Linked DNA regions of Canis lupus familiaris. The protein of the gene in region 2 interacts with the protein of the main gene of each other region in a pairwise test. Links are inferred from orthologs where the notes say so. Each region holds a gene or a part of one and is shown on either strand. Other genes may lie near its edges.

Evidence for each region. The genes of interacting proteins can lie anywhere in the genome.
Region 1: the proteins of WIPF1 (region 2) and HOMER3 interact in binary tests that used the Homo sapiens proteins (3 or more experiments, as listed by UniProt). The two-hybrid records come from large-scale screens. The link is inferred for Canis lupus familiaris from reciprocal best matches to the Homo sapiens genes WIPF1 and HOMER3.
Region 3: the proteins of WIPF1 (region 2) and WWP2 interact in binary tests that used the Homo sapiens proteins (3 or more experiments, as listed by UniProt). The two-hybrid records come from large-scale screens. The link is inferred for Canis lupus familiaris from reciprocal best matches to the Homo sapiens genes WIPF1 and WWP2.
Region 4: the proteins of WIPF1 (region 2) and FASTK interact in binary tests that used the Homo sapiens proteins (3 or more experiments, as listed by UniProt). The two-hybrid records come from large-scale screens. The link is inferred for Canis lupus familiaris from reciprocal best matches to the Homo sapiens genes WIPF1 and FASTK.

Annotation. Positions count from the first base shown.
Region 1 is NC_049241.1:44,587,857-44,591,802, forward strand, and holds the start of HOMER3 (homer protein homolog 3), read left to right. Parts: upstream 1-1,146; 5' UTR 1,147-1,282; intron 1,283-1,388; exon of another isoform or gene 1,389-1,918; intron 1,919-2,263; exon of another isoform or gene 2,264-2,957; 5' UTR 2,958-3,025; coding exon 3,026-3,039; intron 3,040-3,118; coding exon 3,119-3,275; intron 3,276-3,526; coding exon 3,527-3,658; intron 3,659-3,946. UniProt on the Homo sapiens protein: Postsynaptic density scaffolding protein. Binds and cross-links cytoplasmic regions of GRM1, GRM5, ITPR1, DNM3, RYR1, RYR2, SHANK1 and SHANK3.
Region 2 is NC_049257.1:19,016,488-19,020,656, reverse strand, and holds the start of WIPF1 (WAS/WASL-interacting protein family member 1), read left to right. Parts: upstream 1-1,369; 5' UTR 1,370-1,579; intron 1,580-4,169. UniProt on the Homo sapiens protein: Plays a role in the reorganization of the actin cytoskeleton. Contributes with NCK1 and GRB2 in the recruitment and activation of WASL.
Region 3 is NC_049226.1:80,504,301-80,508,351, forward strand, and holds the start of WWP2 (NEDD4-like E3 ubiquitin-protein ligase WWP2), read right to left. Parts: upstream 2,801-4,051; 5' UTR 2,798-2,800; coding exon 2,728-2,797; intron 1-2,727. UniProt on the Homo sapiens protein: E3 ubiquitin-protein ligase which accepts ubiquitin from an E2 ubiquitin-conjugating enzyme in the form of a thioester and then directly transfers the ubiquitin to targeted substrates.
Region 4 is NC_049237.1:15,854,925-15,859,093, forward strand, and holds the start of FASTK (fas-activated serine/threonine kinase), read right to left. Parts: upstream 2,801-4,169; 5' UTR 2,741-2,800; coding exon 2,659-2,740; intron 1,862-2,658; coding exon 1,439-1,861; intron 946-1,438; coding exon 766-945; intron 665-765; coding exon 525-664; intron 53-524; coding exon 1-52. Other genes in the region: TMUB1 (transmembrane and ubiquitin-like domain-containing protein 1), read right to left, coding at 3,537-3,888. UniProt on the Homo sapiens protein: Phosphorylates the splicing regulator TIA1, thereby promoting the inclusion of FAS exon 6, which leads to an mRNA encoding a pro-apoptotic form of the receptor.

The DNA of each region.
Region 1 (3,946 bases), on a different chromosome or scaffold from region 2:
GCTACCAGCCCAGATGATTCTGGTCAGGGGAAAACAGAAATAAAAACAGGGAAATGAGACGGGGCGGAGAAGGCAAAAAGCAAAATCTCTGAGATTGTTGGAAAGCTCAAGCATGAGGTTTAGGGCTTTAGGGAACTGTAGGCCTCGGTTTGAGGGAGCTGCAGTGCCTCTGTCCACGAACCCGATGGCACTGTGTGACTTTGGAGGAGTCCAGAGAAAGGGCAGCCACTGGACTGCCAAGTAAGTGGGTCCCACAGGCAGACCCTGGCCTGGGGAGGCTGATCCTGGCTCATCTCCAGTTGGACCCTCTCCTGGCAAGTGCCTGAAGGGTTCCCCCTGACCAGTGATGGCAAACCCAGGCCTGAGGACCTCCAGGAGATTTGCACAATTGGTGGGAGCTGGGCCCCAATATTCGCTCTACCCTGGCTTCTGAGACCCTATAACATAGCAATACTGATAATTCGACCATGTTGGCATTGTTACCTTCCTCTCCTGGGAGACAAGGTGGATAGAAGCCTCTCCCCAACAGGGGATTGGAGCTGGGGGGGGAGTCAGGCAGGAACGATTCCTAACGGGGCACCCCTGATCAAGTCTCATTAAGTGCCTACTGTTTGCCTCTCTCAGCCTCTTCTAGCTTTCGCCCAGCCTGTGTCTGTTTCATTTCCAGGCTACACCCACTGAGCACCTACTGTGTGCAAGCACCCAGCTCCGTGCGATAGAGGAGCCCCGGCCTCTAGATCCCTGTCAGGTGGAGAGGGACTCCCATCAAAGGCAGAAGGTCATGACCTCAGGCAGTGCCCCGAGGGCCAGGGCCGCCCCGACAGGACGATCAAGCCCCATCCTCCATCTGTCTGCCTCCTGTGTCTCTCCCTCATGTCTCTGCCTCTGGGTCTGGGTCTCTGTCCCCATCCGCCCCGGCCCTCTTCCCCGCTCTTCACCCCGCCCCCCGCCCCCAGGGAGTCCCGTCCCGCCCCGCTCCCGGCTTCCGCCCCTCCCTTCCCCCCCCCGCCGCGGAGGGCCGGCAGGGGGCGCTGCGGGGCGGCCTCGGCGGCCCGGGGAGGCGGGGCGGGCGGCGGCCGCGTCGGGACCGGCCGCGATGGGACCGGAGGCGGCGCGGGCGGCGGCGGAGGCGCAGACAAAGGCGCGGGCGGCGCGGAGGGCGGCGCGGAGGGCGCGGGCCCCGGAGCCAGCGAGCGAGCGGGGCGCCCGGCTGCGGGGAGTCGGCGCCGCGGGGCAGCACCCGACTCGCGCCCGGACACTCGCGGGGCGCCGAGCCCGCAGGGTGAGCCCGGCTGTCCGAGCCTGCGCGGGGGACGCGGGGGCCCCCAGGTGCCAGGGCCGGGGCGAGGGCGCGGGGGTCCCCGAAGTTCCGGGCCGGGAGGCTGGGGGCGGCCGGGGAGCCCCGAAGTTCCAGGGCTTGAGAGGGCGCAGGGGCCCCGAAGTTCCGGAGCCGGGGTCGGAGAGGGCACGGGGCGAGGGGTTCCCAAAGTTCCGGACCCGGCGTTGGAGGAGGCTGCGCTGTCCCCGACGTTCCCGGCCTGGGGTTGGGAGGCGGCACGAGAGGATCCCGAAATCACCGACCCGGGGCTGGAGAGCTGGCAGGGAGTCCCCGGAATTTAGAAGTCGGAGGTGGTGCGAGGGATCCCCGAAGTTCTGGACCCGGAGTCGGGGGGCATCGCGCGAATCTCGGAAGTTCCCGGGTCGAGGGTGGCACTTCCCGAAGTCGGGGAGCGCACTGGGCGCCCCGATTCTGACGCGGATGGGAATTCTTTCCTTACTGAATACCAGGCCCCCCAGCCCGGGGCGCATGGGGTGGGGCTTCGCCCCCACACGCAACTGGGGATCCTGGCACCGGGCGGGGTCCGGGCCTCCTCCGGGAGCCCCGCGGCCGGCGGCGACCGAGGCACATGACTAGTTGGTGAGTAACTTTCCCCAAAGCTGCAAGTCGCGGCAGGACCGTCAGGGCCGGCAGGGCCTGGGTTTCTGGGACCCCTGCACCCTGGAACCCTGCTTCGACCCAGGACTTGCTCCCAACCCGGGCCAGCGCTGCCGCCCCTCCCCCACACAGGGGCTCCGGTTTCAGACCCTGTGACCCGGGCAGCAGCTGCCCAGGACAGGGTGGGGGGGCAACCCTCCTCTGACCAGGGAGGCCGCTCCGCGGGGGGCCTCCCTTCCCCCACTGGCCACCTCCCTTCCCCAGGTCCCTCCTGGTCCCCTGCAGATCCCCCAGATGCAGGTTTTGGAGGCACAGAGGTGAGGTTAAGGAATTCTCCAGGGCAGCCATTCCTGGTATCTGTGAGGTCGTGGCTGGAGGCAGCAAGAGGGGCTGGGGATCTCCCAATCCTTGATGCCACCCAGCCCTGCATGGTATTGGGATAGAGTGGTCATGGGCAATCGGTTAGTGGGTACCAGGGTAAATTTGTTTGACTACATCTTCTTAACTAGGCTGGCAGCTCCCTGGGGATTTGGACTCTGCCTCCAAGTGTGCCTCTGCCCTAGAGTGGAAGCTGAGGGGTCCCTCTGTGGGATCTAGGAGGAACTGGTCTCCCAGGAGGCATCTGGTGATGGCCACATTTTGATGGAGATCCTGGTTTGGGGAGTGATGAGTGAATGTGGCAGAAAATACCAAGTAGGAGTTCACCTTGGCCTTCTCTATCTAGCACCAGTATTGAGGGGGTGTCACTCTGGGTTCAGTAACCAGCATGCTGACAAGTTTATGCTGGGAGATCCAGGGCCACCTGGCTCCTCTCGGAGAGTCATCTCCTGCTCAGGGTGTGTGGGGGCTTCCTCCCAAAGGAGAGGGACAGGGTGTTTTTGCTGAATGATCTGCTGATTCCTTTACCTTTCTAATTGAGGTTCTATGAATGGTGTGGCTGGTGGTGGGTCCTGAGGTTGGACCCGCTTGGTTTCCTTAAGCCTGTCCTGGGGAGACACTCACAATCCCTCTCTCCCCCCAGAGGCTGAACCCGCAGCTCCTGCCATCCCTCTGGCTGCCTCTTGGAGCCCACCCAACCCAACCTGACCAATGTCCACAGCCAGGTGAGCCCCTGCCTCCCCAGCTTGGCCCTGAGCCCCCTGGGGGATGCCTAGCCCCACTGAGAACCGTCTCCCCACGCAGGGAGCAGCCCATCTTCAGCACACGGGCACATGTGTTCCAGATTGACCCGGCCACCAAGCGGAACTGGATCCCCGCGGGCAAGCACGCACTCACGGTCTCCTACTTCTATGATGCCACCCGAAATGTCTACCGAATCATCAGCATTGGGGGTGCCAAGGTCCTGGCAGGGCCTGGGTGGGGGTGGCAGGCTCCTGAGGTCTCAGAGGCAGGTTTGGGTCTAGTCATTACCCTGCTGTGTGCCTGGGGGCTGGGGGTTGGGAGGAGCCCTTAAATCAGTCTCTGTCTTGAGATGGCTCACACCTAGAACCTCCCAAGAGCTAATACAAAGTGACACCCTGGGGGTCTCATGTTCATTATTGTCAGTCTCATCAAGCTTGAATTGTGTTCCCCCCTCTTCCCTCTTCCCAGGCCATCATCAACAGCACCGTCACCCCCAACATGACCTTTACCAAAACCTCCCAGAAGTTTGGGCAGTGGGCAGACAGTCGTGCCAACACCGTCTATGGCCTTGGCTTTGCTTCTGAGCAGCATCTGACCCAGGTGGGCTTGCAGGATTACATGGCGGGAAGGACAGGGCTGGCCCTGGGGTTCCTCTTAGGGCCCTGGGGGCCTCTGGGCAGGTGCTGTAGAATAGGCATGAGAATTAGACAACCCTTCCTGGTTCCCTGGCTCATGTCTCAGCTCTGCTGGCCATCTGCTCCAATTTTGGACACACCCCGCCCTTCTCTGGGTGCCTGGGATGAGCTGGGAGTTCCCTCACACACCCTAGCACTACCTTCATCATTGCCTCCCTCCACCCTCTGCTGTCTTCAGACTTCAATATTGTCT
Region 2 (4,169 bases):
ATACCTCTTCAAGTCTGGAATACTATATTGATACATGAAATCACTTGTCCTCGTTTGATATAAAACATAACCATGCGCATATTACCATAGAAACGGCTTCAAAAGAAAAGCAACTGCATGATAAATCTTAGGAAAAGATGGGTACGTTTAGGAACATTTGCCAACAGGAAGGTTTTACACACATTACTTAACCTTTCTTGCAGAAGGGCTGTCGCCCCTGTTAGGAGTATGTCAAGATACAAATGTGCACATGACAAGGGTACAGGAAGACACAGCCTCAAGTCCAGGATGAAGCGTCTCCTCTGCCTAGGAGAGCAATACTCTAGGGCACATATTCCCACCTTTTCTGCTGTTACTCAAAGGGGCAGCCGGCCTTGGAATTCTAACTCGACTGAGTGGGTATGGGTATCGCATGGATCGTACCTTGCAGGTGTTTTTTCCAAGGCACACGTTCTACTATCTGTGTCGTCTCGGTGTTCCCTTGTCTTTGGGTCCCCAGGGCTTTCAGCACCGGTGCGAGCCTGCTAAGGAGAGAGTCCGCTTTGGCAACCGAGTAGAACTAAGACCCCTCGCTTTCTGCAAACTGGGACCGTGCGGTACCTGAGGACGAGGGGGGGCTGTCGGCACCATCCCTGGGGAGGCAAAACTGCTCAAGGAGTCGCCCCGGGGCGGCGGGGCGGGGAGGGGGCGCACATGCACGTGGGCTCCCGTGGGCTCCGGTGGGCCCCGCTGCAGGCTCCAGGAGGCGCCCGGGTGCTGCGGGGCGGGAGGCCGGTGCTGCGGGGGGGGGCGCACATGCACGTGGGCTCCCGTGGGCTCCGGTGGGCCCCGCTGCAGGCTCCAGGAGGCGCCCGGGTGCTGCGGGGCGGGAGGCCGGTGCTGCGGGGGGGGGCGCACATGCACGTGGGCTCCCGTGGGCTCCCGTGGGCCCCGCTGCAGGCTCCAGGAGGCGCCCGGGTGCGGCGGGGCGGGGAGGGGGGAGGCCCGGGCTGCGGGGCGGGGCGGGGCGGGGGGCGCACATGCACGTGGGCTCCCGTGGGCCCCGCTGCAGGCCGAGGTTCATCTTTAAGATGAATTTGGAGAACGGAGGAGAGAGAGATAGAGGGCGAAGGGAAAAGGCTCTCCCTCGGGTGGGGGGCGCCCCGGCGGCGGGAAGGGGCCCCGGTGCACACCCCTCTGCAGACGCTCGAGCCGGGGAGGGGCGGGGGGGGCGGAGATGGGGGGACGGAGCCCCGCGGGCCGCAGCCTCCCGCTGCTCCGGGGGCTCCCGCGGCGGCCGGGCGGGCGGGGCGGGCGGGGCGCCCGAGGGCGAAGGGCCGGCGGCGCGTCCGCGTGTGGCGGGGCCGCGGGGGGAGGGGAGGGGAGGGGAGGGGGGAGGCCGGGGAGCCGAGGGGAGGGCTCACATCTCCGCGAAGTTCCCGGATGGTCGCAGCCTCCCGGCGCCGAGCGCTTTTCCTGCCGGGCCGGCTCAGCCCTGCCGACCCGGGAGAAGTTTCCCAGGAGGAAAGAAAAAAAAAAAAAAAAAAAAATGCCCGGCGCGCGGCGGGGCCGTGGAGCCGCCCGGAGCTGCAGCAGCGCGGTAAGGGATGCGCGGGGCCCGGGGGCTGGGGCGGCGCCCCGGGGAGACCCCGCGGCCGGCGGGAGGGCAGGGCAGGGCTCCCCGCGGGGTGGGGGCGCCCCGGGACGGCGGGGGGGCGGGGCGGGGGGCCGCGGCGCCCCTGGTGCCCCCTGGTGCCCCCTGGTGCCCCCGCGGAGTCCCCGCCCCCCGGCTCCCCGAACGGGGCTCCCGCCTGCAGCCCGCGGCTCGTTCGGGGCTCGGGGCTCGGGGCCCGGGGCTGCCCTTCCAGGCGCTGCCACCCCCTCCCCGCGGGGGCGCTGTTGCCCCCACCCCGGGGCCTTTCCCGAACTTTCCGGGCAGCCTCGCTGCAGCCTTTTTGTGCCCGCGCGTTTGTCTGTCTGGAACAGAACCGCCGAAGAAAGTTGCAAGCGTAAGGGAAACCAGCCCAGGGGACCCGAACCCGGGGCGGGGGTGCAGACCTTCACCCCTCTGGGATGAACAGCGGGTACGCCTGGGTCGCCTGGGTCTTCGGGCCCTGCAGGGTCCCTCTGGGGCCACGGGCTCCGGCCTGACGCCTTATCTCGGTTCTCGGGAAGCCTCTCAAGTTGTTGGCAGTGACTGGGTGCACTTGGTCCCTTTTTCTGAGAGTTCCGTGTCACTGCTGCCCGCCCCATAGTCACCCCACCCCCGGCCGCTGGCCCCGGATGGCCCCAGACTGCGGGCGATGCAGCCGCGGAGCCCCGGACACAGGCCCGCCCTGGGTCGGTTTTCCTTTGCCAGTTTCCCAAGGCAATTTCAAAACAATACTGTAGCTTCACTTTGAGTCATTGGCTCTTTTTTTTCCTGCTCAGAAATGCCTTTTCCTATAACGGGTAAGATAACTACCGGGAGGGTTTTCTTGTACTTTGCATAAAACACCTTGTGACTTTTTGAAATGAGAGAGAGCGAGCCCCGGAGGCCATCAGCATTTTGCATCCTAACCCCTCCTTACAGTGCTCACAACAGGGCCTTCCACTCTTGCTGTGTATCTTTTACGCCTGTCGTCCCCATAGGGTTGAGTTTCTCAGGAACCAAACCCCTGTCCACCTGTAGGAGCCCATGACCCGTCACGGAGGTGTGCAGACTAGAGTCTGCAGATGTTATTCAACATTTTAGTCCCATCATCATCATCTTGGGACCTACCCAACCCTGCCATCACTTTGGCTCCCCTGGGAAACACATAAACTTTTTTTGGGTTTGCAGGGTACCTGGGTGGCTCGTTTGGTTCAGTGTGTGACTCTTGATACTGACTCAGGTCTTGATGCCACCGTCCTGAGGTCCGCAGTTCTAGCCCTGCGTGGGTCTCCACACTGGGCTGGGAGCCTACTTAAAAAACAAAACAACAGCTTCAGGTTTGTGTGATGTAGAGCAGGAGGGTTTGTGAGCGAGGTAAGATCACATTCTGGGTAAGATCACATTCTGGGACGTTGACAGACAGGGAGATTACTTCCAATTAGAGAGATGCGTGCCTCCTTCCGTGTGCTTGTTCACTTCACCAGGTAAGTCTCTAGTGGGAATTCAGCCACTTTCTTATGCCCTTAGGCAAATCGTGGAACTTGAGACTTCCTTATCTCATCCAGGAAATGGGGTTGGCCATATTTGCTTTTTGTCCATCACATGGAAGGAGGATCAGGTGGGGTGATGGGAGCTCAGAACAGCAGGAAGCACAGCACAAGCATCAGAGGGCCACCCAGACACCGTGCAATGTGTAGCATCCATACAAAAGAGCGATAAAGAGCTGAAGTGGTGAAGGAGAGGAGTGGTGAGTGAAAAGAAGTTGGTATTCTCTTATCTTTCAACTTTGCTGTCTCAGGTGCTCTGGCCAGAGGTGAGCGTCCTTTTGTGGGAAGAATTCATTGCTGGGTCTGTGTCACTGTCTGATATTTCAGGGTGTTCCTAACTATTGGTTGTAATTTTAGGAAGTAGATACTTTCTGCAGTGCAGAAAAGCACCTTTTATTCTTTGCTATAACCCATTTGTTTTTATAGTATCTCATATTCAGGATTCCATCTCCCGGAGAGCCATGGTCTTCCTGAAACCTGCCTTCCAACGAGGTCTTCCAAATTCCTAATTTCCACACAGAGATCTCTCTGCCACTGTGTCCCAGCGGTCCACAGTTATGCCAGGTGTTGGAAGGTTGGTAGGCATAAGCCTTGAGAATAGCCAGGACCCACATCTGGGAAGCAGGTCTCAGTGGGACTCCAGCCAGATACTCATTTGGCATTGAGGGTCCCTGCTAGGGGTCGCTGCTGTGTACTGTGCCGTGGTAGAGTGGGAGGCCTTGCTCAGAAAGAGATGGGAGTTTGCCTCTGACCGCTTACCTTCTGGTAGAGGAGACAGGTTTCAAACAGTGGAATGCGAGGCAGAATGTGGTCAAGAAGGTAAAAAAAAAAAAAAAAAGATACGGATCAGATGCAAGGAATTTAGAGGAGATCGAAATTGCTTCCAGCTGGAGGGAGTCAGTCCTTCACTTATTTGTCCATTTAACCAATATTTAAGAGGTGTCTCCTGAGGGCCAGGCGTTGCAGGAGTAACAGGCCATTCACGTTGCCTTCTCCCTTCACTCCTCCAG
Region 3 (4,051 bases), on a different chromosome or scaffold from region 2:
ACAATCATATCCCCTTTGATGTACTTAGAAGGGACACACAAGAAACTGATATATTGGGGATCCCTGGGTGGCTCAGTGGTTTAGAGCCTGCCTTTGGCCCAGCGTGTGATCCTGAAGTCCCGAATCAAGTCCCATGTTGGGCTCCCTGCATGGAGCTTGCTTCTCCCTCTGCCTGTGTCTCTGCCTCTTTCTCTTTCTGTGTGTCTCTCATGAATAAATAAATAAAATCTTTAAAAAAAAAAAAAAAAAGAAAAGAAAGAAAGAAAAGAAACTGGTATATTAGTTTCCTCCAAGGACGAGCACTGAGGAGCTGGAGGGAAGGAAACAATCTTAAGGCTGATAAACAGATAAAAGAAATGAGTAACATTTATATTTCAGAAATCATAATTTAAAAAATGATGAGACACAAAGGGTTGCAGAAGGGGAAGCAGGCAGGGGGTTGGGGTGACTGGGTGACGGGGACTGAGGAGAGCACTTGATGGGATGAGCACTGGTTGTTATACTATACGTTGACAAATCAAACTTCAATAAAAACAAATAATTTTTTTTAAAAAAACAACTAAAAATAAAATAAATTAAATTAAATTAAAAAATAATGAGACAATTTTGCCTCCAAATGACCGTGTATCTGAGCTCTGATACTCAGCACTGTTCCCCAAGCATCTCTCAGTTCCATGACTCCACTAAGGAGTCAGTTCCATGACTCCAGAGCTAAGGCCACCAAAGCAACCTGTCATTCAAGGAATATTCACTGACAGCCCACTATGTATCCAGTACTATTCTGTGTCACTGGGTTTTCAAAAGTAATGAAAATAGAGAAAAATTCCTATTTTTGTGTTTACATTCTACTGAAGGAGACAGTCAATAAAGGAAATACATAAAAATATGTACTGTGTTGGGACGCCTGGGTGGCTCAGTCACTAGAGCCTCCAACTCCTGATTTTTGGCTCAGATTGTGCTTTCAGGGTCATGAAGTTGAGCCCCTAGTAGGGCTCTGCATTGGGCTCAGTCTGCTCGTCCCTCTCTCTGCTCCTTCCCCAACTTGTGCAGTTTCTCTCTCTCTCTCTCTCTCTCAAATAATCTTAAAAAATACATATGTGTGCTGTGTTAAATGGTGACAAGCCTAAGAAGACAAATATAAAGTAGTGAAGGGGATAGACATGAGGAAGTGGGGTGTGGGGGAGGCTACAGAGGGATCAGGGAGGCCTGGCTGAAGAGGGTGACTTTTGAGTAAAGACCTAAAGAGAGTAAGGAAGCAAACCAGGTAATCGTCTGGCCCCAAAGCATTCCACTCGAAGGGAACAGCAAGTGCAAAGGCTCAGAGGTGGGAGTGTGCCCAGTATAGTCCCTGAAGAGCAAAGAGGCCATGTGGCTACAGCAGGGTCTAGGTAGAAGAGTAACAGGAAATGAGAAATGGGAGTGATGGGTGGGGTCCCATCATGTGGGACCTTTAGCTTTTATTGGGTGAGATGGAGAGCCAGTTGTCAACATGTTTAAGCCCTTGACATGCCTGCTATGTGACCCACAGAATGAAGTAGGGCAAAGGACAGAAGCAGGGAGACTACTGCCTTCATCAAGGGTAGAGATGAAGGCAGCTCATGGGATGGTGGGGGTGGTGAGAAGAGGTTGAACGACAGTTGCATTCCGAAGACAGACAGACATGGCCAGGTTCACAGCTGGCTGAGCGTAGGATATGATAAAGGAAAACCAGGAGCTTACATGGCTACTAAACATTCAAGTGGAATGACAAGTGGGCTACTAGAGATACAAAATCTGGAAATCTATCAATGGAAAGGCCCAGGCTAGAGACATAATTTTGGCAGTAGTGACCTTATTATTGGTGGCATTTAAAGCCATGAGGTTGGGGGGCACCTGCATGGTGTGGCCAGTTAAGTATCTGACTCTGGATTTCAGCTCAGGTCCTGAGATCAGGTAGCTGGGCTTCTGCTAAGCACGAGCCTGTCAAAGTTTCTCTCTCCCTCTGCCCTTCCCCACTGTGTGTGCTCACTCTCTCAAATAAATAAATAAAGTCATGAGGTTGGATGAGATTAACCTAGGGAATGAGTATCGATAGGAAAGGGTTCTGGGGCATCACAGAATCACCATTTTCAACAATTTTTGCCAAAAGTTCCTTTTATCGTTCTTCTTTAAGAATTCTAGCTATAGGGGATCGCTGGGTGGCTCAGCAGTTTGGCGCCTGCCTTTGGCCCAGGGCGCGATCCTGCAGTCCCGGGATTGAGTCCCGCATCAGGCTCCTGGCATGGAGCCTGTTTCTCCCTCCTGTGTCTCTGCCTCTCTCTCTATCATAAATAAATAAATAAATCTTTAAAAAAAAAAAAAAAAAAGGAATTCTAGCTATAGGGCAGCCCTGGTGGCCCAGCAGTTTAGTGCCACCGTCAGCCCGGGGTGTGATCCTGGAGACCCAGGATCGAGTCCCATGTCAGGCTCCCTTCATGGAGCCTGCTTCTCCCTCTGCCTGTGTCTCTGCCTCTCTCTCTCTCTCTGTGTCTCTCATGAATAAATAAATAAAATATTTTTTAAAAAGGAAGAAAGAAAGAAAAAATAGAATTCTAGTTACAACATGGTCACCCTATGAGAATAAATAGTTCACATTCCTAAGCTGTTTCACAGTGTTTGGCTCTCACACCCAGGTGGGCATACCCCTGCCTTTTCCTCAAAGATTGGGCTGGGCCTCAAATAGTAAACATTTCACATGTTGCCACTCACCTTTCAAAGTCAGCTGAGACTTCTCAAAAGGCAGGGCCACTCCTGGCCGGCTGGAGCTAGCAGATGCCATGTCATCACCAGAAAACTGCAAGATGAGCAACAGTAGGTTTAGAGGATACCTGGAAAGAAATTAAAGAACTGCACCCAACTTTCATATTTGAGTTGAAAGAGATGAACCAAGAAAATATAAACATCCAAGCAACTTCTGTCAGGGTGGAGGCTGTCTGTCTTATAATGACTCCTGAGCCTAGATGGGTCTCTGCTCAACTAGGAAGGGCGCACGATGTCACCATTTACAGGAGAGAGCCTAATATAACACTCTCAAAAAGAAAGTCACAGTTCAACAGTTAAAAAAAAAAAAAATCCAGTTTCATAAATCAACAAAGGATATACACAGAGGGGTGCCTGGGTGGCTCAGTTGAGTAAGCAACAGACTCTAGACTTAGGCTCAGGTCATGATCTCAGGGTTGTGAGATCAAGCCCTGAGTCGGGCTCCACACTGAGTATAGAAACCTGCTTGGGATCCTCTCTCTCTCCCTCTCCCTCTGCCCCCCCCCCCACTATTGTGTGCATACTCTCTCTGTACAATAAATAAAAAGAAATAAATAAGTAAATAATAAATAAAAAGATATACAAATGGCCAATGAGCCTATTCTTGACATCATTAGCCATCAGGCATCCAGGTCACTCGTCTTGGCCAGAAGCCTTGCGTTTTGAATAGATCTTTTACTCATATAACAATTTTGTGACATTATCCTTTGTCATCTGAAAAATATTGGTTCACTGAGCTATGCAGATACTCCAAATGTTGACATTTCATTATACACTATCAAAAAAAAGCACATTTGTGAATGTCACCACTGATCTTCTCAAACAGATCTTTAAGCATTGGGAAACTGTCAAGTTCTTAGTGGCAGATATAAGCGTTCCAAAATTCTTTTTTTTTTTTCCAAAATTCTGATTTTCACTTTAAAAACTCATATTTTATCATTGGCAACAAATACTGTCAGTTGTTTTCCTTCAAGTGACAGGCTCACTTCATTCATCTTGAAGAGTGTCTGCCAAATACCCAAATCTAGTAACTTCAGTTTGTTCGTGTTTTTTTTTTTTAAGCAAAAAGATTATTTCATAAAAAAGCAATTCAGCTCTCAATTCAAAACTCACACAAGTGCTTTTTCTCAAGACAATCATTATTTCAGTATGCAGAAGTGCCTGCCCTAGGCATATTTCCCATTTCATCACAAAGAATATTTAAAAAGACATGTACAAGAGTCAAGGCTTAATAAAATTAATCATTTTCACTGTTTCATCTAGCATTTTCTTA
Region 4 (4,169 bases), on a different chromosome or scaffold from region 2:
CCAGAGGCAAGTAGTTCAGCCGCCCAAAGGGCAGGACCAACTTCTGTACCACCTGTGGAGGAAGAGCAGCCCTTCACCTAGCATGAAACAGTTGATACCCTTCACAAGCTGAACCTCAGGGAGGCTTGGCCTGCAGGCTTGTAATGTCTCTGTAAAGGCAGAGCGATCCCTCTCCCCCGACGTACACACCAGAAGTTTGACAGCACAACCCGTGTCTTGAGCCCCACGTGATTAATCAAACCAATGGAGGAGACATCGCTGTGGGGTCTGGCCCTGAAGACTTAAGAGGAGTGGGCTTAATGAAGCTAAGACAGTGCTAAGTGAGTAGAACTGCAGAGAGCCAGGCATACACACTGGGTAGGTGGATGAGCCAGGAGGGGGTGTGCAAAGATAAAACCCCAGGGGGACAGAGCAGAGGGCCTGGCTGCTTGCTGCAGGAGGCAGCCAATCAAGCTGACAGGGAGCTGGGCTTGACACCGTGGAGGGCTAGGAGACAAGCATGGCAGGGTGGGAGGTAATCCCACCTTGCTGCTGAGCTGGGCTTCCTGGACCACCAGGAAATGGGCAATGGCTTCCAGAAGCTGGGGCTCCCGCAACCGGTGCCGGGCCAGGTGCTGGGCCAGGAGCACCATGACGTGAGGAGTCAGTTCCTCTGGCCTGGCCTCTGTGAAGAACAGCCTATTATGCTGGACCCTCAGTCCAGACACCACCACCGGCCTCCTCTTCAGCCCCTCCCCGCCACCTGCCTTCAGTCCCCTCCAGCACCTGCCAGGCTGCGGATGAGGTGCTGCCGTGGACGCCTCAGGAAATGAGGGCAGCTCAGAGCAGCTTCCAATCTTTGCCCACCGTGCAGGACAGGTTGCAGGGTGGGAGGTGGCTTCGGAGGGAGGCGAAACCTTCTCTCCTGCTCCAGGGCACACATCAGGGGCCCATCTGATGGGAAGCCTGAGAGGGAGAGGGTCAGAGGAGGCAGGCCTGGTAACAGGGAGCTGCTCTGTTCCAGTCATGGGGTTCAGCTGATGAATTCCCAACCTTTCACGTCTCTGTGTTCTGGACTGGATGGGCTATAGTGTAAGTGGAAGCACTGGAGAAGTGTGAAATACCATGTGACTGTGAGGTTATCAGGACAGTCTGCGGGCAAGAACTCAAATAAAGATGGCAAATGAGCTCTCATCTCACGCCAATGGTGACAAACTGTAGTGGCTTTCTAGAGCGCTGTGTAGGAAGGAATCCGGGCTTGGCACCCCTAGCTAAGCTGCAGGGAATGCTGCTCGACTCCTGGTGTCAGCTGTGGATACAAGGGGAGCGGCAGCAAGTGTGCCAAGGTATGCACCAGTCCTGCCAAAGCCCAAGAGGTGAATTCTGTCAGTGATCTTGGGTCTTCTACGCTCTTTCTCTATTCTTCCGTGAACACCCACCCCCCAGACACCCTCCTCACCAAGTAAGACTGCAAGGTGCAGACACACGTGGATGGTGTGAATGTCAAAGGAGGGGCAGTTTCGGATGATGAGCTGACTCAAGTCCTGTAGTGTGGCCTGCTCCACGGGAGGGGGCCGTGGCTGAGACCCCAAGAGCTGACCCAGACGACGAAGTGCCACAGGGTAGTGATGGGCGCGCACCTTGGTGGGGTTCTGGCCCAGCCAACGCAGCAGCTCCCCAGGGCTCCTCGCCTGTTCCAGAAGCCGCTGTAGCCCCTGCACGGGGCCTGCATGGAGGCCTCCTCCAGGAGGCTGGTCCCCCCACTTGCTGGGCCCCAGACAGCAGGGCTGTACTGGCGGGAGCAGCAGCAGGCCAGACAGCCGAGCAGCAGAGGCCTGGGCAGAGAGCAGGAGTCGAAGCATGGAGTTGGGTGATGGAGACCCTGAGGGGCAGCCCAGAAAAGGGGGTGAGCTTTTCTCCAAAGGGGAGAGAAACCGGAAACCAGCCATCAACTCCTGACCTCACTCCCCATTCAGAGGGCCCTGGGGTCAGAACACCCACTCATGTTCGTCCTTCCTCTGTGATTGCTCTAGTCTTCCCCACCCCGCCCCTCTCTGCCTCCTTCCATCCTTTAAAGCAGCACCTTCCATGTCCTCCGCACAGGGATATTTACAGAGCAATTCCACATGCACTATGGATCTCTGATGCTCCGCACGCGCCTCTGAGGTAGGCAGGGCTGGCACTACCTCCATTTCACAGGTGGAGAAACCAAGGCCCAGAGAGGAAAGGGGGGGGGGCGGTAAGCCCGAGGTCACGAGTCGGGTTAGTGGTCGTGCCCAGCCTGGAGCCCAGCTTGCCCTGTCGACACGCCCTCTCGACCACCTCCCCCTCCCGCAGGAGGCGGCAGCGGCAAGGAGGGTGGAACGCGGGCTCGGCAGCGGGGCGGTCCTGGGTTCCATGCTGGGCGCTCCCACTTACCAGCTGCATGACCTTGGACAAGTGGCTTCGTCTCTCTGCCCAAGCCTCCTCGCCCGTGAAACGAGAACGCAGCGCCCAGCTCGCAGGGGGCCCGTGGAGCCCGAGCGCGCGGCTTTGCAATGGCGCGGAGTCGGCGGTGTTAGGGGCCCCCACACCCACCCGGCCCGGCGACGCCCGGCGACGCCCGGAGACCGTGCTCACGGTCGCCAACACCAACTCCCGCCGCCCTCCCGCAGCCCGCCCCGCAGGCGCCACCCCTACATGGCTCCCCAGGCCCCGCGCAGGTCGCTCCCTCAGTCGGTCTCGGGGCCCGGGAGCCGGGCTCCCCCCGCGGCCTCCTCATCGGCAGGCCACCGAGTCCGCCATCTTCCCAGCAACCCCCGGACCGCGGCCCGGACGCCAATCGCGGCTCAGCCCCCGACCAGCACAGACGTGGCTCCCGTCAGGCCCCGCGCGTCCGGGCGCCGCGCGCCCCGCCCCCCGCGTCCGGAAGCTGCGCGCGCCGAGCCGGGGCGGTACCGCGGGCGGGGGGCGGGGCCAAGGGGCCGGGCGCCGAGGCTAGTGCGAAGAGCGAGCGGAAGTCGGCGGCTCGCCGTTGTAAGGCTGTGCACCCGGGAGGGCTCAGTCCCCGCCCAGCACCCCCAGAGGCCCACACACCCAGACACACAGCAGGAGTGAAAACTTCACAGTTATTTAATCTGCACGTGTTCCACAGAATCCCTCTGCCCCTCCCAGCTCCCCTTCCCCAGCGCCCCGCAGTCCTTGGGTCCTCCAACCAGCCCAAGGAGCTATCAGGGACTAGAGGTGGCTGGGTCCTCGGGCAGGACACTAAGAAGGGCCCAGGGGTGTAGCCCGGCTCTGCGGGGGGCCAAGGCAGTGACAGCAGCTGCCTGACCCCGAGGAGCTGACTGTCAATGGGGGCTGAGAGCCAGCAGCCCCAGGACGTGGCCCAGAGCCATGGAGGTCACAGGGAGGGGCGTCGGCGGACTCCCGGAGCGCTCTGCTGCGCAGGGCTGGGCTCCAGGGTAGTGGGAAGAGGCAGGCCGGAGAGGTGGGCCTGGGCAGACAGCATCGCCCACTGTGTCGAGGGGAGCAAGGTCCAGAGGGGCCAGCAACGCTGCCGAGAGCCCGTGGAGGCACTACGGGCGGTACATGGCAAAGGCCAGGAGACTGAGGAGCAGGGTGAAGCCGGCCAGACCCAGAGTGGCGGTCAGGGGAAAGAAGGGCCGGTACTGGATCTGGCAGTACCAGAGCAGCAGCAGCAGCAGAAGCAGAAGGGGCAGCAGCAGGCTGCCTATTTCCAGCCCGGAGGGGCCTGGCTCTGACCCCGGTGGGCAAGGGGGGTGTGGGGGACCGACTCGCGTGGACACGTGGCAGTGGAGAACGCAGTTGGGCGGGAGGTGAAGGCTGCCCAGGGTCTGGGTGTCGTCTCCTAGCAGCTGCCCTTGGTAGATGAGCCGCACCTGCTGTTCCCGGCCAGGAAACTGGGTCCTGAGGAGAGAGGGACCTGGGTAAGAGAGCAGGCCTCAGGCAATCCTGGTCCCTTGCCCAGAACCACACTCCCACCCCTCACCCTTGTCTCCACCCACCACCCAGCTGGTGGCCTCTAAAGAGGGGGAGTCCCCCCTGCCATAGGGGAATGATACAGTGTGTGATGTGAGGGCCTCAGTTCCCCCTCATCTATAGAAGGAGGGGGGAGTCTCAGATCTCTCTGGTGGCCCTTCTGGTCTGTGGTCACTCCCACCCCACTCTCAAGAATGTCTTTCCTGTCC